Mytilus edulis: one gene and its partners. The protein of the gene in region 2 binds, or shares a complex with, the protein of the main gene of each other region. Links are inferred from orthologs where the notes say so. Each region holds a gene or a part of one and is shown on either strand. Other genes may lie near its edges.

Evidence for each region.
Region 1: WASH complex subunit 2-like (region 2) and WASH complex subunit 1-like share a complex: the UniProt entries of both Drosophila melanogaster proteins name them as parts of the WASH complex. The link is inferred for Mytilus edulis from reciprocal best matches to the Drosophila melanogaster genes FAM21 and wash.
Region 3: WASH complex subunit 2-like (region 2) and WASH complex subunit 3-like share a complex: the UniProt entries of both Drosophila melanogaster proteins name them as parts of the WASH complex. The link is inferred for Mytilus edulis from reciprocal best matches to the Drosophila melanogaster genes FAM21 and CCDC53.
Region 4: WASH complex subunit 2-like (region 2) and WASH complex subunit 5-like share a complex: the UniProt entries of both Drosophila melanogaster proteins name them as parts of the WASH complex. The link is inferred for Mytilus edulis from reciprocal best matches to the Drosophila melanogaster genes FAM21 and Strump.

Annotation. Positions count from the first base shown.
Region 1 is NC_092344.1:31,573,192-31,580,845, reverse strand, and holds the start of WASH complex subunit 1-like, read left to right. Parts: upstream 1-4,640; 5' UTR 4,641-4,830; intron 4,831-7,654. Other genes in the region: uncharacterized protein, read right to left, coding at 398-573, 1,370-1,436, 3,146-3,182. UniProt on the Drosophila melanogaster protein: Acts as a nucleation-promoting factor by activating the Arp2/3 complex to induce actin polymerization. Participates in both linear- and branched-actin networks.
Region 2 is NC_092355.1:16,253,659-16,260,901, reverse strand, and holds the start of WASH complex subunit 2-like, read right to left. Parts: upstream 3,029-7,243; 5' UTR 2,918-3,028; coding exon 2,906-2,917; intron 1-2,905. UniProt on the Drosophila melanogaster protein: Acts at least in part as component of the WASH complex which may regulate wash nucleation-promoting factor (NPF) activity and is required for its membrane targeting during endosomal sorting.
Region 3 is NC_092353.1:26,958,028-26,964,953, forward strand, and holds the start of WASH complex subunit 3-like, read left to right. Parts: upstream 1-3,920; 5' UTR 3,921-4,008; coding exon 4,009-4,059; intron 4,060-6,531; coding exon 6,532-6,696; intron 6,697-6,926. Other genes in the region: transportin-3-like, read right to left, coding at 3,578-3,694. UniProt on the Drosophila melanogaster protein: Acts at least in part as component of the WASH complex which may regulate wash nucleation-promoting factor (NPF) activity and is required for its membrane targeting during endosomal sorting.
Region 4 is NC_092344.1:109,308,179-109,315,832, forward strand, and holds the start of WASH complex subunit 5-like, read right to left. Parts: upstream 3,007-7,654; 5' UTR 2,680-3,006; coding exon 2,455-2,679; intron 387-2,454; coding exon 280-386; intron 1-279. UniProt on the Drosophila melanogaster protein: Acts at least in part as component of the WASH complex which may regulate wash nucleation-promoting factor (NPF) activity and is required for its membrane targeting during endosomal sorting.

The DNA of each region.
Region 1 (7,654 bases), on a different chromosome or scaffold from region 2:
CTGAGATCATCCTAAGTTTTCGGGGTAGTTCGTATTGCTTCTTTTAAGTTGTCTATGTTGTGGTGTATGTTCTGTTGCTTGTCTGTTTGTCTGTTTGTCATTTTTCTTATTTAGCCATGCCGAAGTCAATTTGAAGTACATGACTAACTATTGTAGACACCAATGTTCAAATGAAGTTGTTGTAAGCAATTAAAGGCAACCGTTTGGTCTTCAACAATGAGAAATTATAACATTGCGTTTATTTTCTGCCAATGAGTTTGAATCTTTCGCCTCTCTTTGACATTTACCTAACATGCAGTTTGTTTGATAAAAAAAATATGGTTGTAACGTTATTATGTTGAGACTATGTAAAACCATGAAAATGATGATTCTTATTATATCATTTGTTTTTACTTACGCTGCTGTTGTAGCGTGTGTTGATGTTGATGTTGATTTAGTTTTGATAAAGTGTCTGGTTGTATCACGTGACCACGAATACCACTGGTTTTAACACAACAACATATTGTGGTGATAATAGCCCCTATAACGGCTACTCCAAACAAAGCACCAATAATTGCACCAATGATAGTTCCTCTAAACATAATGAAATAAAAAGTAAATGAAATCATGTTTGTTGTATTAGTAAAGGCTATAGATCTGATTTAAATATTAAATTTATCTGCACAATGTATTGGGTAAGACTAAATTGGAAACGGACATTACAACCTCGGAAATAAAGGGCTTATCCTGATTGGGCACTTTTGCTATTGAAATATGTTATTCTGAAGTTCGACTTAAGATCGTGGATTTCAATTTTCGATTTCAAAATTCAGATATATTAAATAGAGAATATCGAATGAGCAGTCTATAGACATTTTTTTTATGTCTGATGTGTGTGTCGAAGCGATAACTTTTCTTAAAAGAATCCGTGTAAGTTGTGGGATAAAGCATTATTTATAGAAAAAAAGAAATGTCAGTTCAAAAGAATAAGTCCTTGGTTTCATTGAGGGCGACTCTTAGGTTCATGTTTCGGTTTTCTGAGCAACACATATGTTCTTGTTTTTTTCATATACATTTGCATTTAAATCGTGTGTGAAAATATTGTGTCTTTGAATATAATTATAATTCAAGAGATAACCTCTATGTTTTCATAAAAAAAAATGAAAAATAGGTTTCATAAATGTTTTCTAATAGGTTCACGCTGCATTGGTGACCTTCGGCTGTTGTCTACTCTTTGGTCGGGTTGTTGTCCCTTTGACACATTCCCCATTTCCATTCTCAATTTTATTAACATGAAAAGTAAAATATATAAAAAATATTCTTTTCATTTGTATTCCTTATGCATATGTATTATCTGTGATAATTCTTGTGTATGTTAATGAATACTTACACATCAGTATTACATTCATGGTATTCGTATTGGTAGTGGTAGTAACAACCACCAAACACCGGAAGTACTGAAACATATACAGAGATTACTTTCAATTTTACTTTCATTTTTTTTGTTTTGACATGTATAGATTGGCAGACAAAACAGTATCAGATAAACCTTATCATATTTCCCTAAAAGATCTAAGGAGGATGGAGGGCCGCATGGTTTTCGCCATTAAAACAAACCTTGATATATTTGAAAAGGTGATTAAATTAAGCAAAAATTATTAAGAATCTAGTAAGGTTTCGACACCTTAAGCAAAGTTAACTTTAGATTTATTTTTGCTAATATTTTATATCCTTTTTTGGTCAGATGTCTCTTCGACTGTTTCGGTATTATACATCCTTTTGGCTTTCAAATATTTTGCATTGAGTGTTCCTGTCGAATGTAAATCTATAGAAGCGCTTCGAACTCATATTTTATTGAGTATTGCCAGTTTCATTTTTTGCAAAAAAAAATGATTCTTACAATCAAAACAGTAACCGCAGAGATGACTATATCCGTCCCATATTGTTTTTAGAGTCATATGTAATTAATCATGCCGAAAATGACATCCTACTCATTCTCAAGCATTTAAGGACAAAGTATTGAATAAGCAGATGTTTAGAGTTGAGAGGGTCTGCATCGACTTCGTTCAATAATTATGCCAAGTTCTAAACATCCCTAAACCTACAGAAGCTACGAATTATTGAATAACACTTTATAAATATATTCGTCCGATTACTTGATTTAAGAGGCCCCTCATGAGGGGTCCTAGTAATCACATAATCACCTTTTTTTTTGCCAATATAATCACATAATCATTAAATATTTGCTTATCTTTAGTAGTCAAATAATCATAAACTAAAAATACAGTCCTAGGTAATCAAATAATCATGAAATATTTGGCTTAATAATCAAATAATCATTAAAAAAACGGCCAAGTAATCACATAATCAAAAACCCCATGAGGGCCCTCATTTAAGACCTATAGAGAATTGCCAAGTCTACCTGAAATCAAATTTTCCTGAGTCAATTTGAAGCTAAGTTTCTTACTTATTTCCCAATTAATCAATGAGTAATTCATTAAAGGTATTTCGTAATGTATGTCAGTACCGAAGCACTCGGTTAAAAATCTTTCCTATACAATGATATTAAATATATACTGATTAAGTATGCCATATTATTGTGCTTTTAAAATGTTTACTTTAAACACACTGTAGATTTGTTTTAAAAGATATGAAGTTGCATTATAAAAATGTTTCAGATGAATGAATATTAAAAGATTTGTTTAACCTTTTATCAAAATATTTACTTTAAAGGTACGCAATTACTGCGCTATGGTTACATGCACAACAACGAGAATAATTATAGATACATGTTTAAAGATATATAATGTATTCATGATATAATTATGGTAATTTCTCATATATCTTTTTAACAGATCGTTGCAATAAACATATAAAGCATTTCAAAATATTAAAAAAAAATAAAGTAACGCTTAAGGGTCAATAACTATTATAATAAATTATTCCTAACTCATCATACATGTTAGACTTGACTTGTAGAACACTCTAGAATTTCAAAAAGTTCTCCGAATTTATTTTGTCGGCATTTTAAGAAACATTATTAAGATATGGTGTTCCGTTGGTTTCTTTTGAATTTCGAAAATATGAATGAATCAAACTGTTGAGATAAAAACGTTTGGACATGCATGTCTGTTCTAAACTTGAAATTGGAAAATTTAACTCTTACCCTGAATAAACAAAATCCATATTGAATCAAAAACCATTACTTTTGATTATAACTAATAATACATTCCAAATTATTCATGTTAAACGGCCAGGAAGTTTAAAACATCAACTATCAATTTAAAGGCCAGGTTAACTTTTCTTCAATCAATTAAAAAATAGATCCATGACGTGAACTGTCAAGTTACGGAATTGTTTATGTTTTTCATGCTTTTTATCCAGTGTCTTCACGAACAAATTTAGATTCCTATTTACAGTTACATATGTCTACAGACTACATGCAAGATGAATTTGAAACAGAATAGACATTAATTGGTTTGTCCAGAACAGAATCGATTGATCTGATGTTATTGAGATATTGACTTGTTGATAATTTTAAGTCCATTCAAAAGACTTACTAAGTAGAAGCCGGGAGTAGAAGCCATTTAAAAACGTTGAATGTATAAACAAGCGCTCTTTCTTCTTCTTCTTTTTTTTTTTTTAGGTTGCAGCACATTTATATTTTACGTGGCATTCTTATTTCCTTTTGTTGAAGAACTATTAATATATATTGTTCGTCATTTCTCTCGATTCTTGAATAAAAATCATGCAATTGACCATAAATAGTTACCTATTCAATTTACTGTTGTTTTTTTTTTTAATTAATCTGTGCCAAAACATTTTAATGCGTACAAACGGAACATCTGTGTACCTACAAGCAATATAGTGTCAACATACGTATATTTCGAGACGACTCGAATATTAGAATATAAGAAAGTTTGCGTGAAAATATGAACGTTCCTAATCAAATCAAATTTATTATAAGAATCGCATTATAACAGGAGAGTATCCAACATTCACTGAAATACTTGCACTGCGATTATTAGAATAGTATAATAGGATGATATCATGGATGAACATTATATATACATCATAACCAAGGATTTGTATAGCCTAGTAATTAAGACCTATACAAATCCTTGATGTAACTGGTATATACATGTACAAATATAAATAAACTAGTACTACATTACTGTAAATAAGAACAAACCAGTATACTGATCTGTATCACTACAATATAATAGAATAATGGTGAGGTTGAATTCTCTGCCATTTATTCATCATCAACGCACGACTGTCTTGTCTCAGAAAAAAATACATCTTTGTACATTAACCTCATTTTCAGCAGAGACACATAATACAATTGTATTGTATGTCTCTGCTTTCATCTATAGAGATGTGATTTTTTTCTGATGGACAAGTGCTTGTGACCATTCACAAGAACTTGTGGTCATCCGATGTTCAGTATTTTCAGTACTACAATTTGTAACATCGTTAAATTAATTTTCAAATCATGAGACATTTTACCAGGTGGAGTCTAATAAACGATAATATAACAATAATCCTATTGCATGGATTTTAAACTAATAAAATTCTTCTCAATAAATGTTATACTTGGACAAGCTTTTGGAAAAGCTAGTGTTTGAAATATTGATACATCTTATTATGTGTTCTACGTCACGAATATAGAGGCGGAACTGACGAAGTTCTCATCGATAACTTTTTCTCGTGATCAAGTAGACAAGCCGAAAACATTTTGAAGCTTTAGCCCAAATTATGTGATTTGACAATATGATACTGTTAATGCATTTTCACATTCTAATTATGTAATTCATGTTGAAAATATTCAAACCATAGTATCTGGAAAAGGTAAATAAAAAACCATTATTCATAAGCACACTTTACACGCCCCTTTTCACTGAGCACCATGATTTTTTAAAATTGTGTTTTGAACTGCGTTGTTTGAGATTATCTATAAAGAATATTAAAAACAAAAAACAGGACCTACTAGAAATCATTGATACTGTCAAACCAGATATCATACTAGGTACCGAAACATGGTTAGAACCAAACACCTCTTCTTATGAGTACTTTCCATCAGATTTATATAATGTGTATCGCAATGACAGGGCACCAAGTACCAACAACCAAAGCTATGGGGGTGTACTTATAGCAATCACAAAAGAATTCATAAGTTCAGAGGTAAAAGAACTAGAAACTGAATGTGAAGTAGTCTGGGCAGAAATCAATATTGCTGGCTCAAAAAACATCTTAATATCATCCTATTACAGACCACCATCTGATACAGGTTTGTCACTAGAGCAACTCCATCAATCTCTAAATCGTATCAATAGTCAATCAAATGCAACTATTATTGTGGGGGGTGATTTTAACTTGGGACATATTGATTGGTCAACATCAAGCACAATACCAGGCAAACCTGACATACAACTTCACCAAAATCTCTTAGATATAATGAATGACACAAACCTACATCAAGTTGTCAATACACCAACAAGAAATGATCGCATACTAGATCTAATAATGATTAATAACCCAACATACATCAACAAAGTAACCACACTACCACCAATAGGTTCAAGCGACCATGATATTGTCTATGTCGAAGCAGACATCTGGCTTAAGAGAATAAGAGAAACCCCACAAAAAGTATACAAGTATAACAAAGCCAACTGGGACGAAATTAAACTTGACATAAGTACCATCTACAAATCAATCATTGACAACTATGATTCTCTTAACACCAATGAGCTATGGGAACTATTTAAAACCAAACTCATCAGCTCTGTCGAAAAACACATTCCATCAAAAATCCTACGAAACAAACATCGATTACCGTGGATATCTGATAAATTAAGACGACAAATTAACAAGAAAAACAAACTTTACAAAAAGCGAAAAAACAGCGAATACACGGAGAAATATAAAAAGATGAAAGCTCAGGTACAAAAAGATCAAAGGAAAGCCTACTGGGAATATATTGAAAAACTTATATGTGATCTTCCAATTAATGAACCAGACATTCAAATACAAAATCAGAGCAAACCTAAGAAACTCTTTCAATACATCAAGTCAATAAGAACTGACAAATCTGGTATCTCTGCACTAAAGAAAGACGGCAACATCATTACAGACGCCACAGAGAAAGCAAATCTCTTAAACGAACAATTTCAATCTGTATTTACCCCAGTTACAGATGACCCAATACCAAACAAAGGCATCAGTTCACATCCTAATATCAGCGAATTACATATAACACCAAATGGGATCGAAAAACTCTTAAATAAGATCAACCCACATAAAGCCACCGGCCCAGATAACATCAGTGGCCGCTTACTGAAAGAAATGAAGACAGAAATTGCACCAATACTATGCTTAATTTTTAACAAATCATACAACACTGGTATTACACCTAACGACTGGAAACACGCTAGAGTCGCACCAGCATATAAAAAAGGGGATAAGCATAAACCGGTCAATTATAGACCTATTTCATTAACTTGTATTTGCTGCAAGTTAATGGAACACATAGTAACATCACACATTATGAAACATCTCGAATCAAATAACATCTTGTACGACCTTCAACATGGCTTTCGGCACTCTCGTTCTTGTGAGACACAACTTCTCTCCTTCATTCAAGAACTTCAATCCACAAACAATTCAAATACACAAACAGACCTTGTAATAATGGACTTTGCGAAAGCCTTTGATAAAGTTCCGCATCGTCACTTACTATACAAATTACACTATTTTGGCATTAATGGAAACACTTTAAATTGGATCTCTGCATTTCTCTCTGATCGAACCCAGACAGTTGTTCTGGATGGAAGATCATCAAGCACAGTCCCAGTCACCTCTGGGGTTCCTCAAGGTACTGTCTTAGGTCCTGTCTTATTCTTGGCGTATATCAACGACCTTCCAGACTACCTTACACATAGCAAACTAAGACTATTTGCTGATGACAGTATCTTATACATGCCAGTTAAATCCCAGAGTGACTGCCTAAAACTGCAAGCTGACCTTGACGCAGCTACAAAATGGGAAGAGGACTGGCTGATGGCCTTCCACCCAGACAAGTGTAATGTTCTCTCTGTAACAACTAAACGTCAACCTTTAAAACATAATTACACTCTCCACAATCATATACTAGAATCTGTTACATCTGCTAAGTACTTAGGCATCACATTACAATCAAACCTTAAATGGGACAAACACATAGATGACAATATATCAAAGGCCAACAAAACTCTCGGCTTCCTTCGAAGAAATCTAAAAACATCAAACCAAAACATCAAGAGCCAGGCATACCAAGCACTTGTCCGTCCCAAACTCGAATACTCTTGCTCAGTTTGGGACCCCCACACTTCAGAATCTATTTCAAAGATAGAGATGGTCCAAAGGCGAGCTGCTAGGTATGCCTGCAACAGGTATCATAATACTAGTAGTGTATCAAACATGCTGAACACACTAAACTGGCCTATTTTGACACAACGCAGACTGCGTGCACGACTGGTTATGATGTACAAGATCACACATCAACTTGTTGCTATACCATCTAGCACAATTCTCATTCCATCAGACTCAAGAACCAGAAAACATCATTCTCACACCTTCAGACATATTTATACATCAAAAGACTCGTACAGATTTTCATTCTTCCCATACACAA
Region 2 (7,243 bases):
AGACAGACATGATAGAAGAAAAAAAATGGAAAAAAATATATTTGAGGTATCCATGGGGGTCTGCGGAATTCAAAAAGTGGGTGTTATAGACTCTTCCTTTCTGTTCTCTGTAGATATTTGAACTCTTTTTTGTTTGATTTGTTGAATTAATAATAACTTGAATATTATATTTAAGTCAAATTGATAACAATTAAAACTGTCACAGAATATTAGTTCCATCATAATATTTATTCCAAAGATAATTTATTATGTAACAAAAGTTCCAATTGGAATTATTGTTATGTGATATTTATTCCATAAGCATAATAAAAGGACCAATGCCTCAGAATTTTTATCATGTAAAATAAATTCCAATAGGATGTTTTATAACATAATGATTTAATTTAAGATGTAACGCATCTTCTGATTGGCTGACGTTATTTTGTTATGAGCCCATAGACATACTTTAGTCATGTGACCGTAACGTCATCAACGTTTTTTCATGGTTTTCTACAGTTTAAAATGGAATTTAGAATTAAATTATAAGAAATGACTGTAATATTTTTTCTGTCTATTCGAAATAACATAAAAAATGTGGTGCACACTGTTAAATAACCCGCTATGCGCGTTATTCAGTGTGCACCAAATTTTTTATGTTATTTCTTCATAGACAGAAAAAATATTATAGTCATTCCTTAAATAAATTATCTTTGGAATAAAAATTATGGTAGAAAATTCATCTTATGACTTGTATAACAGTTTGACTTTGATCATTTTGACTTTTATCATTCTGACATATCACTCATTAAAATGAAAAAAAATCTTATGTAGTCATTATTCCGATTGGAAAAAATATTATGCATTGCAATATATATTATATAATATCTTTTCCGACTCAAAAATATTATTATATTCTATCCATTAATAATGCCGGATTGGTAAATTGGTATTTACAATTATTATCTGAACAGGTATCGTGAATATGGAAAATAATTGTTCCTGATCTTGAAGATATTAAACAATTAGTTGTGAATTATCCACAATTACTGGACATATGCATTTTTAAAAGAACATAAATGTTTTCTCATACTCATCAGCCTCTGTGTTTCAGTATAAAAAAGGTGGTGTACAGCCGAATATATATATCCAACTCATTAACACTTTTCTTTTTACATGTAATCCTATAATTAGCATTTAAAACCTGTTTTGATTAAGATTATAATCAGCATTTAAAACCTGTTTTAATTTATATAATAATCAATCAGGTGTAAACTAAACTTCAGCATAATAGGAACATTTGTTATACTCATCAATATATAAGATAAGTTCCTATTATCAGTGGAACAAATATAATACAGATGGAAAAAGTTTTCCATGACACAATTTCCGCAGAACAAATATTATTATAATATTGTTTCCATCAGGAACAAATATTATTAGGAACAAATATACGTTGACAAGACAAAACAATAAACTTTTGGGGTGTTCGGTGGTGAAAAGACCTACCATACATACATGACATGTCTGTTAAATGTCAAAAAATATGTATTAAAATACTTCCAGATTTTTTTCTGTATTGTTTATTTTAGAATGTTTTGTTTGATGATTATGATTGTAACATTTGGTAGAAAAAAATGAATTCAGTGATATACATGATCATGATACATAAAGAGTTAGACAATTAACATGATCACTAGAACACACCTGCGAAATCGCGGGCATTCAGAGCGGAGTTAAAAGTATGTAAAGTGTTGTTAGAAGTTTTATACCTCCTCCTTCATTTTAAAAATTCCCAATTTTTGGTTTTCTCTCAATTTCAATATGAACATACATTTAGTATGTTATGAACATTTAAGTAAGGAGCCTGTAGTTCAGTGGTTGTCGTTTGTTTGTGTGTTACATATTTGTTTTTTGTTCCTTTTTTGTACATAAATAAGGCCGCTAGCTGTAAATAAATAAGGCCGCTATTTTTCTCGTTTGAATTTTTTTACATCGTCATTTCGGGGCCTTTTAAAGCTGAGTATGCGGTATGGGTTTTGCTCGTTGTTGTAGGCCGTACGGTGACCTATAGTCGTTAATTTCTGTGTCATTTTGGTCTCTTGTGGAGAGTTGTCTCAACATGGCAATCATACCACATCTTTTTTTTTTTTGTAATCAATGAATTTTGTAAAATATTTAATGAATGGAGAATTTCAGAAAAGGTATCAAAAGGTTACATGAATAATTTTAGCGCTTATCTGTATATTACTATATAAATAAAGTGTATTTACTTTCAATTCTTAGTTTAGTAATCGATCCATGGTGGTCAATTGACATAATATACAGACCCTCTCCATTTAATAAACTCTGAACAGAATTAAAATACACTTTATTCGTACTATTTGTTTGTTCAAAGTATACAGAAAAACGCAAACCAGAAGTATAATCTGACTTAAAATTTCGTCCAATGACGGGACAATATCCGGATGCCTTTTTTCTCGTTTTTCTCCCAAAATAACTCAATCTGAATAATCATATGAATGGATGACAAATGCGACTATGCACTGTACATATAGGACACAGAGTCGTGTTGATTAATTTATTGTGGAAAGAAGAGAAGCGACACCAAAAATGAGGTCTTCTCGTTTAATAGTATAGAAGATGATGATTAGTTGTATTTGAAAATGAAAGTTATAAATATTTCCCAGTTTAAAGGTTAAATTCATCAAGTTCATGATTATTCCTTTTAACTAGGATGTAAGTTTAAACCTATGGATGTGTATTGTGATCATTTGTAATAAAGTTTTTGTGGATATAATTTTACAATGTCAACAAAATCTGACCATGTTCATGATGTTAACAGTTGATTTATGAACCTTAAAATATGATCGGTGCAATGTCAGTGTTTACATATTGATACTAATGTTTCCTCATATTTTTTGTTTACCTCTGGTTCCATTATAATATTATTTTGATGTATTAATGATTAAATGTGGGTGTTCATCTATTTGTATTTTTCCATTTCCTGTGGTCTGTCACATGATCACAGTAAATTATCTCCCTTTAAAGTACATATTCTCCAGTCCCCAGTGTATCTTCCTCCTAATTACACGGACCACCATGGTCCAAGATACCACTGTTAACTCGAATATGTCTGCGTCCTCTTTCAGCAAAAAGTCTCTTGCCATAACTTTTTATATTTCTTTGTTTCAACCGAACATAATTCAAATAGATTAAATTTGTTATGTTTGGTTATTTAAGGAATGAATGTAATATTTTTTCTGTCAGTATGAAGACATGAATAACATAAAAAATTTGATGCACACTGAATAGATCTGAATAACGCGAGTAGCGGGTTATTTAACAGGGTGCACCGAATTTTTTATGTTATTTCGAATAGACAGAAAAAATATTACAGTCATTTCTTATAATTTAATTCTACATTCCATTTTAACCGTAGAAAACCATGAAAAAACGTTGATGACGTCACGGTCACATGACTAAATGTCTATGGGCTCATAACAAAATAACGTCAGCCAATCAGAAGACGCGTTACATTCAAAATTAAATTATTAATTTTTAAAATATCATAAGTTTTGTTCAAGTTGATAACTTGATTTGTCTCTTTGACACATTCCACATTTCCATTCTCAATTTTAGGATAAGGAATCTCGCATGTACGACAACACGCAGTTTTACCGTGACATGTCACAAGTTTAAACAACTAATATCATCTTTTATTTCTTCATAACAAAGTTTTCCTTTGAAATAGACACATTCTTAAGATTTTCTGATTTCAGTGACTTTATAGGGCTTTATTTTGACTGGGACTATTATATTATTCTTAGTGTATATTAAATAATAGGTCCAGATTTTGCATGTGAAAACTTGAGGTTTCGCACGGGAAAAAATTATGACGACAGAAAAAAACCTACCCCCTTTGAAGTTAACTTGATATGGTTGCTGCCTAAAACACATTTTTTTAATAAAACAGTCTACTCAGTGAGCATGGTGAAGATCACAATTTCGTGTCTGATCAATACGAATAATTTCAATTATTAAATACAAAAATGCTGCAGTTCAAGTTCTTTTCATGGATATGTCAAACACATATTTCATAATTAATTAGCACAAAACCTATTTACATTTACAAGTTTTACATTACAATTTCATCAAAATGGGACCTCATATTAGTTTTGACAACATTTTTATTAAAATGTTGTCATTATATGGAATATAAGCTAGTGGGGTTTAGGGGTGACACACTATTGACCTAAGACTGTAGTAATCCTTAACAATTTGATCAATTTCCAAATTCTAATGATATTTTTATATCATTGCGATACAAAGGCGTTCCCTAGTGATCAATATTTTATTTATCATAAATATATATATAGAAAACAAATAGTTATGGAAAACAAAAATAAACATCCGTATATTTATCAAAATCAAAGTTTTGTCTAACTTATTATAGTATTCTGGCTTTTATCTTGGTTAACAATTGACTAAAAAAAACATAATTTATATATCAATAGATTCGTCAATCTAACATGCTGTTAAAAAAATCTGTGCTTTTATCATTTAGTCCTATTTACATTTCATGGGACAATATTAAGTTTTTGCATTAACCTCTTGTGAATCGTGATTCAACAGCCCCTCTTGATTTGAATAAAACATTGTTTATATGGAGTTTTTATATACCAGTTTTATGTTCTGTCCTTCCTTTCTTTCAAGGGTGACTGGGGAATAGAAATATGGTCACTTGGTCTTCTTCCGACCGGCAGTAAAACGCTTGCCGAAGTGGGGCCTCCGTTTAGCTGTGCGGGATGTATCAAGTTCGCAGTCATGTCCGGTCAGACTGGGGACGTTAAATCCGATGCCTCATGTAAGGAGAGTGCCACGCTCTTTGTACGTTAAGAACCCTTGCAACAACTCTTTGAGGGGCCCGTAGGTGGCCTGTTGCAAGGCAAAATTTCTGTCCCTATCAAATATACCCTCATTTTACAGTGGCAGTCCAAATTTCCCCGACCATCATCCCAGATGGCCTCTTTTATTTCAAGACCTACCTATAGTATTTATTGTGATCTTTTTCTCGTCCTGAATATGCATGAAATATTTGCCACTGGACGTTAAGCAACCAACAATCAATCAATCAATCTTTTTTCTTGAAAATATGATACAATTTTTCCTACCGACAATTATTTCAGGATCGTAATTTGTAAGTTTTTACACAAATGTGCGCCCTTAAAGTTTTAAGTCAAAGCTCAAATTTTCCCTTTGCTTGTATTCGGTAAATTTGGCAATTGTAAGTCATGACTTTTTCTAGTGGTCCTGTGCAAAAGATCACAGTCAAAATTCATTACATCTGCATCTAATAAGGCCGTTAGTTTCTCGTTTGAATTGTTTTACATTGTCTTATCGGGGCCTTTTATAGCTGACTATGCGGTACGGGCTTTGCTAATTGTTGAAGGCCGTACGGTGACCTATAGTTGTTAATGTCTGTGTCATTTTAGTCTCTTGTGGACAGTTGTCTCATTGGTAATCATACCACATCTTCTTTTTTATATTGCCAATCATGGAGCCGGGAGATATGCGGTGATGTGATTTGATTTGAATTTATAAATATTATGATAGTCAGCGAAAAAAATATATTAACTTCTGAAGGGTGTAGTGCATTGAACATTTTACTGCAGAGTCTTTTAATCTTAAAATTTTTATCGACATGTTTCGTTTTCATTCTTACGAAAATACATTTCCAAAATTAACGCGTCTTGCTAGTCTAACGTCCATCATTTCAAACTTTGTAAGACAAAAATATTTAAAAAGAGGGGCGTAATATACCAGAGGGACATTCAAACTCATAGATCGAAATTAAACTGATAACGCCATTATACCAGAGGGACATTCAAACTCATAGATCGAAATTAAACTGATAACGCCATTATACCAGAGGGACATTCAAACTCATAGATCGAAATTAAACTGATAACGCCATTATACCAGAGGGACATTCAAACTCATAGATCGAAATTAAACTGATAACGCCATTATACCAGAGGGACATTCAAACTCATAGATCGAAATTAAACTGATAACGCCATTATACCAGAGGGACATTCAAACTCATAGATCGAAATTAAACTGATAACGCCATTATACCAGAGAGACATTCAAACTCATAGATCGAAATTAAACTGATAACGCCATTATACCAGAGGGACATTCAAACTCATAGATCGAAATTAAACTGATAACGCCATTATACCAGAGGGACATTCAAACTCATAGATCGAAATTAAACTGATAACGCCATTATACCAGAGGGACATTCAAACTCATAGATCGAAATTAAACTGATAACGCCATTATACCAGAGGGACATTCAAACTCATAGATCGAAATTAATCTGATAACGCCATTATACCAGAGGGACATTCAAACTCATAGATCGAAATTAAACTGATAACGCCATTATACCAGAGGGACATTCAAACTCATAGATCGAAATTAAACTGATAACGCCAAGGCTAAAAAAAAGGACAAAAAACAACAGATAAATAAAAGTACACAGGAAACAATATAGAAAACTAAAGACTAAAAAACTGGGGGGATCTCATGTGCTTTGGAAGAGTAAGCAGATCCTGCTCCACACGTGACACCCGTCGTGTTGCTCAAAAAAGTCGAACCTACCAACTACTTGTTGCACGGCAGTACAATGAATGAAACAGTTGACTTTACTAAGTACATGGGAGTCGCAACAACATCAAACATTTCTGGAACAAACATATTGAATCAATATTTTATTTTTAAAAGCATACAGGACATGCTATGGAAATACATAATGTATGACACAATGTGACAAAATGCTGATAGCAGAGAATAATACAATAATAATATAGCTCATCAATAATATCAGATCTAGCTTAATTAATTGTAAGCGATCTAGAAGTAGCTTTCAACCAACAATATAGTTTAAAAGTATTAGGCCCTGGACAATATTAACGTGGTGTTATTTTCTTTTTATGAAAACAAGGAGAATATCCATCTAAAGACAGTGTTCCTTTGGAATGCACATCTCCAAATAAAACACCGCGCTGAAGTACGTCTATTATTCATAGTTCATTATTCATTATTCAATAATGAATAATGAAATAGTTCACTATTCACTATTCAATATTAAAAAATGAATAATGAATAATGAAATAGTTTATGTTTCATTATTCAAATTGAAGCGGTGAATAGTGAAATAAATATAAAAAAAATTGACTGTTGACACTAAAGCTAT
Region 3 (6,926 bases), on a different chromosome or scaffold from region 2:
GTCGCTTCTGGTGCCAACTAACGGCCTTGGAATTATATACAGAACGCCCAGAGAGTATGTAATCGCGAACTCTAATCACCGATTTCAGAGTGTAGCGGTGTGACACCGCGAATCACGGATTATACTCCCATTTTCCTCCAAAGATTCTCTCCCAACACCGTGTGGCTGTTTATTGGTTTATTGCCCATCAGATGTACTGAAAATTAATGAGTTGACGCGTGACAACATCATCGGATTAGCCAGATTTATTACCTTTGTACATTTAATCGATCTTGATTGCACCTGAGTGATTTAAAATACGTTATTTAAATGTCCTTTCATTGTCAGATAAAAGTGTGACATTTTTATTTAAAATAAGATAATTATTCTTGTATGTATATGCCCATGTCATTGTCATATGACATACAACGTGCAAACGTATAAATATACGATTAAAACACTTATTTTGTATTTTCATTATAGTCCGATCAGGTCATAATTTTGTTTTTTCAACAAAGACGATTTTACCACAATTAGAACCTTTTATGACCTACTCAGTGAGCAACATTCGGTTCATTAATAGTTCAATATTATATAATTAATATCAACTGGCTTAAAACAAAATGATGTTTTTTACGGTAATATGTCCAATCTAAATTAAACCCAAGAGTTAATTTATCGGATCAACAAGTGAACTCTGTTACAATTTATTTTGAAACGTAAAATATTATGTTTCACTACCTCGGTAGATTACCGACTTGAAATATTTGAATTTAAAAAAGAAACTGTAAAGTGACAAATAGTTTTGTATGCAATGTGGCAGCCCTATATTCATAAATACTGAGATACATTCGCCGCCCAGACACAACACAATAATCACAACCTTTAAATATTTAATTATATGGAGAGAAAAAATCATGTTTTTTATCCGTTATGATCTGTTATTGATCTTTAATTATTTAAAATAAAATTGGATTGGCGCAATCCGTATTTTACAGCTCGTTTAAAAGTCCTCGGCGAAATATAAAAAGAAGTATTTCAACAATTATAAAATAGAATATTTAAATGAAATTATATCGTGTTCTACAAGAAAGAAATATGTAAAAAAAAAATGTGGAGCGGATTTTTACGATCGGCAAATTTTCACAGAGGATCTCTACCAACGCCCATCAGGAACTGAACGACATGCATCCTGTTTTCATCTACCATTAATATATAGTGTTGACTATGGACGTATAAATAATGTCCGGTTTTATGTCCTCTGTTGACTGAGAAACGTAAAAATAAAAGGCTGATGTTGGTTAATTCAGAAAAGGAATACAATTTAGAATCCGGTTAATCAATTGTAAAAGTACCTTCTAGAGCCTCAATCTTAACGCACACAAATTTATGTCAATCATTACAAAGCTAGTTTAAACCTTGAATGAATTTTCCCACGGTTATCCAGAAAGGTCACCTGAGTTTACTGTTACATGATACTATTTCCCGCCAAATAAAAATCTTGTGGACAAAATTGATGTCACTATTTTTAGCATTCAATATTGTGAGCAAAGTCAAGTTCAAGTTCAACTACGCACTGTTGATCACTGAGATGCGTGTCTTCCCACGGCAATTAATTGCTTTAAAAATATTTAAAGATCACTGTTCTAAATACAACACAAAAGTTTACATTCATTGTGCGTAAATGAATATTATGCAACGACGAGTTGATGCAGCTATAGAAGTATTCCTGTTGTAGCCGAAATGTTTTATTTATCCTAAAGTAATGCTAACAAATCGTGAAGAGAAAATGCCGTAGACTTCTTAAGCATAAGGAATGGTGAAAAGTATTTTCTTTTTTTCTTGCATATACAAGTTTTAAGACACGTAATTTTCTTTCTTTCTCACATTTTATACCTTCAGCGTTAATTTCCGTTTATTTTCACGCAAGTACACAATGAAGTATGTCTCTTTTCATAAGTTATATAAATTACCGATAAAAAAAAAACCGAGGTCATAATCAAGTATAGATTTTTTTTTATAAAACTTTAATGAAATTGAAAGCATTTAATAACAACAACCTTTTGCTTTTTAAAACTTTTATTTTGTAATCGTAAAATGGAAATGGCGTAGACTTATTAGCATAACAGATAGTGAATAATATTTTCTTTTTTTATACTTGTATAAAAAACTTTGAGACGTGTCACTTTTCTTTAAACTACCCTAATTTATTCAGCGTTAGTCTCCGTTTATTGTTACACAATTATATCTCTTTTAGTAAATTAAATATTTATTTACTGATAAAAAAACGAAAGTCAAAATCAATTTGATTTAGATGTACAGAGTAATTAAAAGAATTAACAACAACGTTTTGATTTTTATTTTAATCTTTTATTTGTTTCAAGCAATCAGATATAAACTGATAATCAATAGACAGGAAATACAATTGTTTAATTACATTAGAAATCTCGCATACCTTGACTGTCGCGTGCCGGCATAGATCAGAAGGATTAGGGCAATTTATTACCTGGTGTGACACTGCGTCACTCCAGACTGGGAGAGATGTCGCTAATACAATAAACAAAAGGTAACGGATTTATGCGGAAGTCGGAGGGAATACTCCCAAATTTCTCCGAGAATTTAGGGAGTGATGTCGGAGTTTCCTGGTGTCACACCAGGAAAAAACTCGGTGTATGGAGTTTGGGATGGCTTTCGCGAAAATTGAACTGTACATTGTAAATCGGATATCAATTTGTTCATTTTTCATTTATGTAAGCTTCACATACCTCTCACCTTTTATTTTCTCATAATTAGACAGTTTTTACAGTGACCAGGTGAACCATCGATTCAGACATTTTTACTTTTATTTTCAAAAGGACATCAAGTTACGAGAAACTTCACGACCTATAGACTCAAATATGCAAATATTTATACGTTTTCGTGGTCACATGATAATCTCTGAAAATGAATGTCAAAATGCAGAAATCGATGGGTCACTGTGAGAACTGTTTAAATATGGAAAAACTAAGTGTGGCAGGTAGGTGAAGCTTACATAAATGAAGAGATAAATGAAAAATGAACAAATTGATACCCGATTTATATAATACTAAGGCCGTTAGTTGGCACCAGAAGCGACGACGCAGCGCATCTATTTTGGACAGGCAAATATCCACTTTTTAATATGGGACGAGCTCTGACGTCCCAAGGCCCTATCTTGTCTGGTAAAACAGTCTTTGGACGTCAGGGTAATCTCGGACTAAGATAGAGGGTAAAGAAGAGCTGACCAAGCACGTCTGCTCAGTTGTATGACTGAGACATCACCATTGAAATGACGTCAATAGGTATCTCTTTCTTTCTCTGAATAAAAGCTAGAATTTGTATCATCAACTTATACATAGAGATAGTAAGATACAGAATGAGGTATGATTATCTTTTATAATGTATATTTTTTGTTTACGTGAAAAGCAAAGCGGTTGAACGATTTGAAATATAGCTATAACTTAATTGGCAGATATCATTAGACAGGCATCTTATAATGTATCGTACTAGTGGGCTTTAATACAAGTTTAACAGAAGTCTACTGCTGGAAGGGGGGCAGCAGTCGGGTCAGTTTGCTTACCGAACGTTGCAGTTCTCCGAGCCAAACTGATGCTCTTTCCTTTCCATTTACGTCTGGATTTTGATAAAGGGCTTGGAGAGCTTGATAAACCGTCTCTAAAGACGGTTCACTATTCATTGCTGTATATTTCAGGAATTGTCACTTGAAATTTCAGCAAGAGCACTGACCGGAAGTAAGTTATTCACCAAGTCATTCCCGCACTTTTGAAAAAAATAAAATAGAATTACAACACACATATAATATTTGTGGTCAAAAACAGATATTATAAAGTTAAGTGAAATATAAAATTAGTTTAAATATTTATTTTATTATTTAATTGTCATTTCTTATTCACCCCGTAATCGAAAATTTACTTCCGGTTTCACTTTGCCAAAAAAAAAAATACAACCCATACCACCTGACTGCCAAACAAATTGATATTCCACTCCATAATGGATTCAGATGGATTGCCTCTTGTAGGACCTGGTGTTGATTATACAAAGGTGTCTTAAAGAAATCATTTGTCATACATACTCACAAATTTACTGTCATTTAGTGCCAATGACAGTTGAGCTAAATAAAATCAGTGTTCAGTTAATAAATAAAAAAATCTTTCATTTAATCAGATATCAGGCTATTAGGTTGAAGAAGTTGCTTCCCCGTAAGTAACTTTATTTTTCCCTTTAGTGGGGGATCCTCCCTGGTCAACCAGTTAAGACAAACTCTATATATCATTATATCCAGTAGTCCGAGATTACTCAGACGTCCAACGGCTGTTTTGCCAGACAAGCTGGGGTCGTCGGATGTCAAAACTCGTCCCATATCAAAAAGTGGATATTTGCCTGTCCAAAATAGATGCGCTGCTTCGTCGCTTCTGGTGCTAACTAACAGCCTTGGAATTATATAAATAGGGTATCAATTTGTTCATTTTTCATTTATCTCTTCATTTATGTAAGCTTCACCTACCTGCCACACTTTGTTTTTCCATATTTAAACAGTTTTCACAGCTTGTCTGGCAAAACAGCCGTTTGCCATCAGAGTAATCTCAAGACTATATTTCCAGAGATCTAATTATATATATAACTAACAATATTTGCATATTATAACAATAAAAGTGTATGTAATGTTCATCAAATGTCAGTGTATACGTGTTGGTTAACAGTAAAGAAAGAATGTAAAAGTAGAAGTGAGTGTTTACTGATTATGAGTAGCCAGAAAAGGTCATATGTAAAAAAAACACTCATCCCTTAAACCCTTACAATACTCTCTATAAATCAAAAAAATATTTCACACATAAGGGGAAACAAACATTCATTTTTCAATGGTCTCAAGAGGTGTACATATCCAAATCATATTCATGATATTTGGAACTTCATTGAGATGTGAAGAAAATAAAAGTGCCTATAGTTCATGTTTCATTTAAAACATTATTTTTTTCAAAATCCCTTGTCAAACATTGTTCCTTTTGTAAAACATGTTAAAAACATATGAGGGGAAACCAATCTTTCAAGGCTCAGCTCCGTCATTAGATCTAAATGACATGTTTTTAATTGCACCTGTATATAAATTAAATTGCACCTATTCTTTATTCAAAAATTATTTATGCGCTCACTCCAGCGGTAGTACATTTCAATGTCATTTGGACATCTTGTTACAGAAGCGTAGCTAGAAGAAAACGATGTGCAAGCAACTACGGCTAAAAAAAATTTGGACCCTTTAATGCAGAAATTTTTTTTTCGGTTTTCGGTCATAGGACGGTTTAGAGAGGAGCTACATGTAGATAGGACTTATAAACAATTTATGAACGTAAACCTATTAATACTTGAATCTTCTGAATAGAGTAAATCATGGTTAATTTAATACATAAACAACACATTTTTGAATTACAGAATTTACTCAAGATTGACCAAAATCTGCTCTTCGGGTCTAAGCAGAAACGAACTTCTCTATTACTTTGTCAACATTCACCCTGAAATCCCGATCAATATGCAGTAATGCTAGCGATGATAACCTGTCGTTGTTCATTGTTGATCTTACATTTGTTTTCAATAGACTTAATACACTGATAGATCTGCATGGTAGCACTTGCGAGATGTTATAAACCAACATACGTGTTCTCAATCGAGCGACCTCCAGATTGAAATTGTCCGCCAAATACATGCCAGGTCATTTTGTATGTCTCAGACAATGTTGAGAATTATTCATTGGTTATATTTCCTACAACACGAGGAAGCAGATACGACACAAAGAAGCTTTTTTCTGATAATACCAGACACCCTCTACTCTCCAATTCCATTATCATATGGTCTACGTGTGTGAACGCAAAATATAATGAGACTTTCCAATGCTGTTTTGGCGTGTTTTCAGGGTGATTGGCTCTGGTAGTCTGTCGAATACATCGCCTCGGCATATTTTCAATAATATCAAAGGGTTTCGATAAATCTAATGGTCGATTGGTACATCGCATCGCAAACAGATACCTTACTTTGTAAAATGTACTCCAAAACTACACGTCTTAGACTGAGTATAATAAATTCAAATCTGGTAAAAGATACAAGTTACTGTCCGATTTTTACATGATCTCCAATAAAACGTTTGTTTTGAAATGCCGTTATTTAATGACAGTTCATCATTTAAAAAAGTGACAACGTATGTGTTTCCTTTTAGCTTTAACCATAATTAATTTATAAATTTTTATTTTGGCATTTTTTTTTTTGCTTGCTGAATCAATGTGCACGCAATTGCGTGTTAGCGTATAGGGAGCTATGCGCCTGATGTATATATATTTCTTAAATCATATACAGAAATATAGACGACTTTTTTTATATTGAATTTTTCATAACATCTTTACATTTGTATAAACAGCATGTGGAGATTCTTATTTTAAAACATATAGAAGACTTTGTACTGATATATTTGTTGTATATTAAGAGAAGAATACTTTTTAAAAAAGAATACTTTTTGTTTTCTTTCAGGTGGAAGCTATTCAGCAGAAGAGAATTGTTGCATTTATAAACCATTTTGTTACACATACAGCTAAATTTCTCAACAGATTTTCTTCTGTGTGTGAAGAAAAGTTAGAACATATGTCAAATAGAATTCAGGAATTGGAAGTATCAATGAATTTATTAGAGGCCAAGGTTTGTCTTTTACTCCTTAGTGGTCTGGTGTGCAAGAGGTATTTGGGTGTGTCAAAGAAAGATTTTGAATTTGTTTTTACTGCTCTTTAATTAGGATGCATCATTAAGGAGTAAGAGCAGTGGGTGGTCTCCTTGGAGCCAGAACAATGTGTCCAGCTTAGGTGATGTGTCTTCCTGCAGATTTTTACCTGGTTATTTATCTCATTGATAATCCGACTCAGTGTGTCCAT
Region 4 (7,654 bases), on a different chromosome or scaffold from region 2:
AATCTTAAATGAAATCATGTAAATGTGTTAGAGCAAGCAAATAGAACTTTGAAAGTTTTAAAATAAAAGTCATGATATAAAAAATTATTTAATATAAACTTACAGCCAATTGCAAGTACTTTTAGAAATGAAAACATTATTTTCCATTGTATTGTAACTTATCACTACAAAGATAAATATCAAACCTCAAAACTGTTTAATATTTTTTTATTATACATAGTACCTCATCCATCAAGGATACATGTACCAATTTATATATGGTTATCCAGGTGTACTTACTTTGTCAAATCTATTATATATTTATGTACACTAGAAAAAGCTTGATAAAATCTTGTCAGAATTTCAATGTTATTTTCCCTGAATTCTTCATCCAAATCTTGAAGTTCCTGAAAGAAGAAGAAAACAAACTTTACTTTTCGGACCGAAACCGGTCAAGCTATGAAACATCACCAGGCGCTGTGTATTGGCATATACATGTACTATATTTTTATGCTTTCATATTTTCCCCTGCACCTAATTAATATGGCTTATACTAACGAAAGCTCCATTTGGAGTTAATGTGTTCAGATTAATTATGTCAGTAAACTTTTCCTTTATTGCTAATACTTTTGCAAGAAATCAAGGGCAATTCCTTTCAAATAAAGGCACAAACTCTGATATGGTATAATACATTTTTGCAATAAATAATTAGTACATAATGCCATTTGGATGATGAAATGCCATTTGGATGAAGAAATGGTCAGCTGTATACATGTTTATATAGATATTAGTATATCGTTTTTGTAACATCTGTTAAAATTGTCTTCACTTTTTAGAGTTGTACCAGTTCATATTGCACATAACTATTTTTATTTGAAGCATATCTTTGCTGTCTCTGTTGTAAATACATTGTAGCTATATAACCTACATCATGTTTAATAAATTTTAGAGTTGTACACGGGCATGTCTCTATTATGTTCAGATTTGACTGTTTCATTGTATAAATTTCAAGATTGTTCTAGTTTTATAATCAGAATTGATTGATACAATGTATGATTCTTTTACATCGTGATCTTACTAATAATATATCTGTTATTGCTCATTTTATTGTTATTTTTGGTGATGTTGTACCCTTTTAGACTTGTTATATATTATATTTTGTAGTGTGCTGTATCATAATTATATGATCCATTGCCCCTTAAGATTTATAGTTGGCTTTTTTCAGTCACTTGATATTTTATAATTTATAAATATATATATATATACAATGTACATGTATTTGAATGTATTTAGTGCATTTTCAGACAGATCTTTTCTTCCCTATTTTATGCACAGCTAGGTCAAATTTTATAACTTTTCAAGAAGTCTAAACAAGTGACAACTCTATGACAGATCCATCCATAGGATCATCATTGAAGGTGATACACAGCTGAAAACACATATTTATTCTAATTACTCTAAATACATGAAATATTAGCACAACCATGACAACAATGTTAAATCTGTAAATTCGCTGGGATTCAAAGTCATGCTATAGGGATATCTGGACAACACTACCTGCACTGTGTCCAAAGCTCAAGACCACTCAGCCACCTAGATGAAACTAATAATTCAGCTTTTAGTGGGCTAGTGTTACCTTTCCTCGTCAGTACTGAGTAGAATCTAGAGTTGTAACACAGTACATAATATATTAGACATGAAGATTGAATTGTTTGCAGATTAGCTAAATTTCTATTGTAAATGATCATTATATAAAAGTATACAATGTACTGTATAGAAAAACAATTTCTTGTCTCAAATTTTTTAAATTTGAGACAAGTGGGTCATGATGCGTATTAGTTTCTCCATAGGCGGTAATAGTTACGTTTTCTTCTGTTGCTCAGTCCATTTCGTTAACTTGGATATGTGTGATGGCTCGTTTCGAAGCTGAGACATTTTGACATATGTGGTTAAATTTTCGGGGTACAAAGTGAGATTACTTTTTCCGTAAATTAGCAAACCCTGAGTATCCTTTTGTGATGCGGCTCCTCAAGGTAAAAAATCCCATTTTTAACACAATAATTTCTATGAAAATTAAATACTTTGAACACATTTAATGACTCCATAGATTTTACAAATTTATTCTGTGTTCCCCTTCTTTCTTAATTAACACAAATGGTTAAGTTCAGTCATTTGTTTATCATAAGAAGTGTCAAATATCACTACACAGAGATTTTTTGTTTACACATGACTTTTGAGTTCCTCATTTCAAGGTGCTTTAGTAATATTGTCCCAAGTGCTGTGGCCTAATAAATGCCTAAAATTATCCAAAAAAGTAAGGCAAGTTGGTCTGGAGCGATTTGGCAATGGGGTGAGTTGTCATAGATTTGCATAGAATTAATTTATTAAAAGTGGTCACATACAATAAAGCATATATCTGTTTATTTTGTAAACAATTTACAAGGTAGGCCTAAATGATTATTTCCAATATCTTACCACTTTGGATTCAATCTTATTGTCAAAGTATTCTGCATTTCTAAAGTAACTGAAATCACTAATAATGTCAGCATATTTAACTTTTTCGTGTTGATTTTCCTGTCTAAAAACTGGTGGTATTACTTCTGAAAGTCTCAATAATTCAGCAAGTATTGCATTTCCCCTTGACACAAGGCGTAAAATATTTTGACCACACTGGTTATTTTCTGCAAGGAAATCAGCCATTGCTTGTTTCTGTAATGTTAGTTTGTGCTAAAGACAAGTCGAATCTAAACTCAAATCAGAAAAAAAACATCAGAAGTTACGCCCACTCTGCCAGGCACTCATGAACATGTGACAACCCTCAACCAACTTCAATTATCCTCAGGGTAAGTGCATCTGAATGCTACCGTAACTTATTTTTTCAATATAAAATGTTGTCTACTCAAACAGAAACTTGTGTTTCTACTCTTCACAGCACACTTTCCTTGTCCATTTTGGTGTAAAGAGCAGACAGATAGTCAACATCCGGAAACAGCCACAGCGACACCTATTATCATTAGTAAATTGAGTAAAGTCAATAACCGACCAGAAATCATATACAACAACGCACAGCAAAGGACACAAATATTCAATGTACACATTGTGACCCATGTTTTTAAAGAAAGAGCAAGCACAAAGTAAAAATGACAACAAATAATACAAGAAGAAAATAGAAAATATTAAATTATAGAGAATAATAATGGAGAAAATACAATCTGCAAAAATATTAAATAACTGTAACCAAAATAAATCATATCAAATGACCAATACTCGAAAAGAAAAACCTGACATTTTCCACTAGTAAAAAATTTAAATCTGATTTATACTAGTAGGAATTTTAATGTCACCTTACAAGTAAAGATAAGCACATTCCGACTTTCAAAGAGAATCCTGAAATGCAAAAATTAGATTAACATGAAGTTATTATAATTACAATTGTGGTTAATCATCTGATTGAAGCATACGACTAACTCAATAGGAAAACCTGAAAGATTTTTGACATGATAAGATAGCTGTGAAAATGTGCTATGAGAAAAAAAATGAAAAAATATAGGGTCACCGTACGGTTTGGCTACATAAAATAATGTAAACTTACATTACATAATACTATGCTATCTTAGTTATTTCCCTGATATCACATTTTTGTTTCAAATTCACATCGTTTGAAAAGATTTTGTTTAATTTTTCTTTTATTAAAATTCTCATATTTGATAGATAACCTACTAAAACGTATATCCAAATAATAAAGGGTCTAAACTAATAAATGATTTACAATGTATGGACTCGATAATATGTATCAGCATTTCGTGTGTACTTTAGTCTAGACGACATATAATTAACCATCAAGAAGACTGCTGACGAAAACCTGACATAAACATAAATATAGCTATAATACATTGATAGCGAACACGTGCAATTGGATTTTTCTAGGGTCTGTTTGATTTCATATTATAGGACCTATGCTATAGGTTAAAAACATATGTTAATCGTCGTTAAACAACGAGGAAGTACGTTCACAATGGGTGCCATATATGGAGCAGGATCTGCCTTCCCTTCCGGAGCACCTGATATCCGAATGGCCCCAGTGCAGTTTTTGGTGGTTCGTGTTGCTTAGTCTTTAGTTTGTTTGATTGTGTCTTGTGTACTTGTCTGCTTGTCTTTTTTTCTTCTTTTTAAGCCATGTCGTTGTCAGTTTGTTTTCTATCTATGAGTTTGAATGTCCCTCTGGTATCTTTAACCACTCTTTTCTTACGCTGTATAAGAATGAGATTTTGTATCGAATCCGTCGACAAATTCTTTACCCTTTTATCCTTTTAATAGCTGACCAAGCCTTGTTAATGCGTAACCCATCGCTAGCTAAGGAGTTAAATGTAAGATCACATGCATACGGATTCAATTAGGTAGAATTATTCACTTGCAAGTAAATAATTAATCAGCGATATTTCTTAGCTTATTTTGACCTAATATAACCAAACTGGCTGCTTAAGGCGAATTATTATTTCACTGTTTAATTTTCAAGAATGATTGAAAAAAAAATCTCCGTAGTTAATGCCCCTATAATATAAGATATATTCCTTTAAAAATCTTCAATTTAATGAAGTCTTACAAATAAATACTAATTATGCATCAAATACTAATTTCAAGCTGTTAAAATCTAGACAAATCATTTTCAGCCATTTACAATTAGATATTTTAACTGACTAAAACTGACTTCCAATCTACCTAAATCTGTGTTTAGTTTATTTTCTCCTGAAATTAGAAAACAATGAGAAATAAAATTGAGAATGGAAATGGGGAATGTGCCAAAGAGACAACAACCCGACCATAGAAAAAGCAACAGCAGAAGGTCACCAACAGGTCTTCAATGTAGCGAGAAATTCCCGCACCCGGAGGCGTCCTTCAGCTGGCCCCTAAACAAATATATACTAGTTCCGTGATAATGAACGCCATACTAATTTCCAAATTGTACACAAGAAACTAAAATTAAGATAATACAAGACTAACAAAGGCCAGAGGCTCCTGACTTGGGACAGGCGCAAAAATGCGGCGGGGTTAAATATGTTTGTGAGATCTCAACCCTCCCCCTATACCTCTAGCCAATGTAGAAAAGTAAACGTAAAACAATACGCACATTAAAATTCAGTCCAAGAGAAGTCCGAGTCTGATGCCAGAAGATGTAACCAAAGAAAATAAACAAGATGACAATAATACATAAATAACAACAGACTACTAGCAGTTAACTGACATGCCAGCTCCAGACTTCAATTAAACTGACTGAAAGATTATGATTTCATCATATGAACATCAGGCACAATCCTTCCCGTTAGGGGTTTAGTATCATGCCATCATAACATATATGAGAAGAACATAACCCGTGTCATGCCAACAACTGGTTTTTGAATAAATGTGTTTAGTTCCGATGCAAAGACCCTATAAGTGAATCAATATTAACGCCAAAATATGCAATCTTTAATGACCTGACAACAGTATTGTAACTATATACCTTCTTAATAAGTCTATTCAAAGGTTTTGTTAGTTTTTGAGGTGAATACTGACACCTTTGTGCTTTATAAAGAATATTTCCATAAAAAATTGGATGTGAAATACCTGAACGTATAAGAAGTCTGCATGTTGAGCTATATTTACGAATGATGTCCTTATACCGATGATAAAATTTAGTAAATGTTTTGACTAGTTTGTGATATCAAAAAACCCTGGTGTAATAATTTTTCAGTAATACATAAAGTTCTCTCGTTAAAATCTAAAACATTGTTACATACACGAGCGAATCGTACAAGTTGAGATATATAAACACCGTAAGATGGTGACAAGGGAACGTCACCATCTAAAAATGGATAATTAACGATAGGAAATGAAAAATCATCTCTTTTACCATAAATTTTAGTATTCAGCTTTCTGTTAGTGATATAGATATCAAGATGAGAATGAGAAAGTATGCAAAAATAAATTATTCTTTACATAAGTCGGAAACATCCTTTCGGAAAAAGAAACATTATAACTTTAAGTTGGAAAATTAGTTTACAAGGTTTACAAATCTAATAAATTAGACTTTAAAACAGTGCAACACGCTTGCATTATTCAAAATATTAACGATATCAAAATGCATTTATAAGATTTCCTCTATAAAGGATCATATTTTACAAATCATTATTCAGAGTATAATCCTGTTGACGTTCGTGTTCTTAAAATCAATTCCACAGACTATCAGTAAATTCACAGAGTCAAGCATGTACAAAATAAACTTGGGTGATGATTGTCATTAGGTTTCCGTCTGTAATTGTGCAGGAAAATGTAATATTCTTCCTTGCTAATGTCGTAAAGCCAACAATGTTTGTTCAACAAGATGTCATCAACAAATTATTAACAAACTTGGTTATTAATAAACTGGGGTTTTTTTCGAAGAAGAAAGTATACGTTATAGATGCACATCTGTTTTGTCAGAATTAGTTTGTAGCTGTATTTTAGGTTAAAGTAGTAAAAGAACACTAAGAACTGGTAAATATCGGTAGTTAGATGGTGTGATTTTAAAGTTAGTCAATCTTGGACGTCATTATCAAGTAAATGAATGTCGAATATATTATGTTATGTCCTTTCATGTGTCATTAAAGTGCAACATACTAGTAGCATTATACACATTCTAAGTCTTACTATATGTCATGCTCGTACTTATTTTCTAGTTTTGACTTTGATCTTTGTATTATTGTAACCGAATGTTATAATTCTCTTGGCTGAGGCGCCTTCAAAATGTAAGTTACTAACATCGAAATATAGATATACTGATATATTGAAACTACATTGTATCTAATAAGAATTAAGCTTCAGATATAATAAAGATTATTGGATTTCAAATTAATTCATATAATTTTTCGTACATAAATGACAGTGAATTATAAGCCTCTAAAGGCTGGTTGGTATAAATATACATTCCTCATTTCATGCATTCTCAATGTTATGTAAATTGACTGCTCATGTTTAAAATTGTAATATATTGAATTTCATGTATAAGTACCAAGTTGTACTTTAAAATCAAAATATATATTTATCTATCAATAGAAGACAGTTCAGGAACAAGATAAATTTGAAGATAACAGACATATCTGCTGACAACTAACAAAACAGACAAACGCTCGTTTTAACGGAGTACAATACTGTGCTCTGGGTGGTAGGTTCTTCCCAGTGTTTCGATAAACGAACCAGAGCTCCCTTTTCATCCCCTTTCTACCCAAAAGCACAATAAGTCGACTCTAGGTTGACGAGTTATGAATATACATATTCTCATTTGTTGTTATCTCACTAACAGAGCATTCTAGGAAGAATAACTACAATTTTCCTAACTAGCAAGGTCGCCATAAATAATTGATTGATTATTTTAAAACAGTTTCTCAGATTCCCAACTAACATGTGACATTTGTATGATCCAACATATTCACGAATACTTACATCTAACATTAATGCCGATGTGGTGATAGTCCTGACATTGAGAATTACTATTTGAAATGACTTTGTGTGGTGGATGATGCATGCATAGCAGGGAATGTTTTACGTGTCTTTGCACCTGGCACAAACTATGTACTCCCAAGTACTGAATTAAGTTATATGACCTAAGGCCTGATCTGGTTCCGTTAATTATAGGTTCGCTATATTCCACTATCATGTT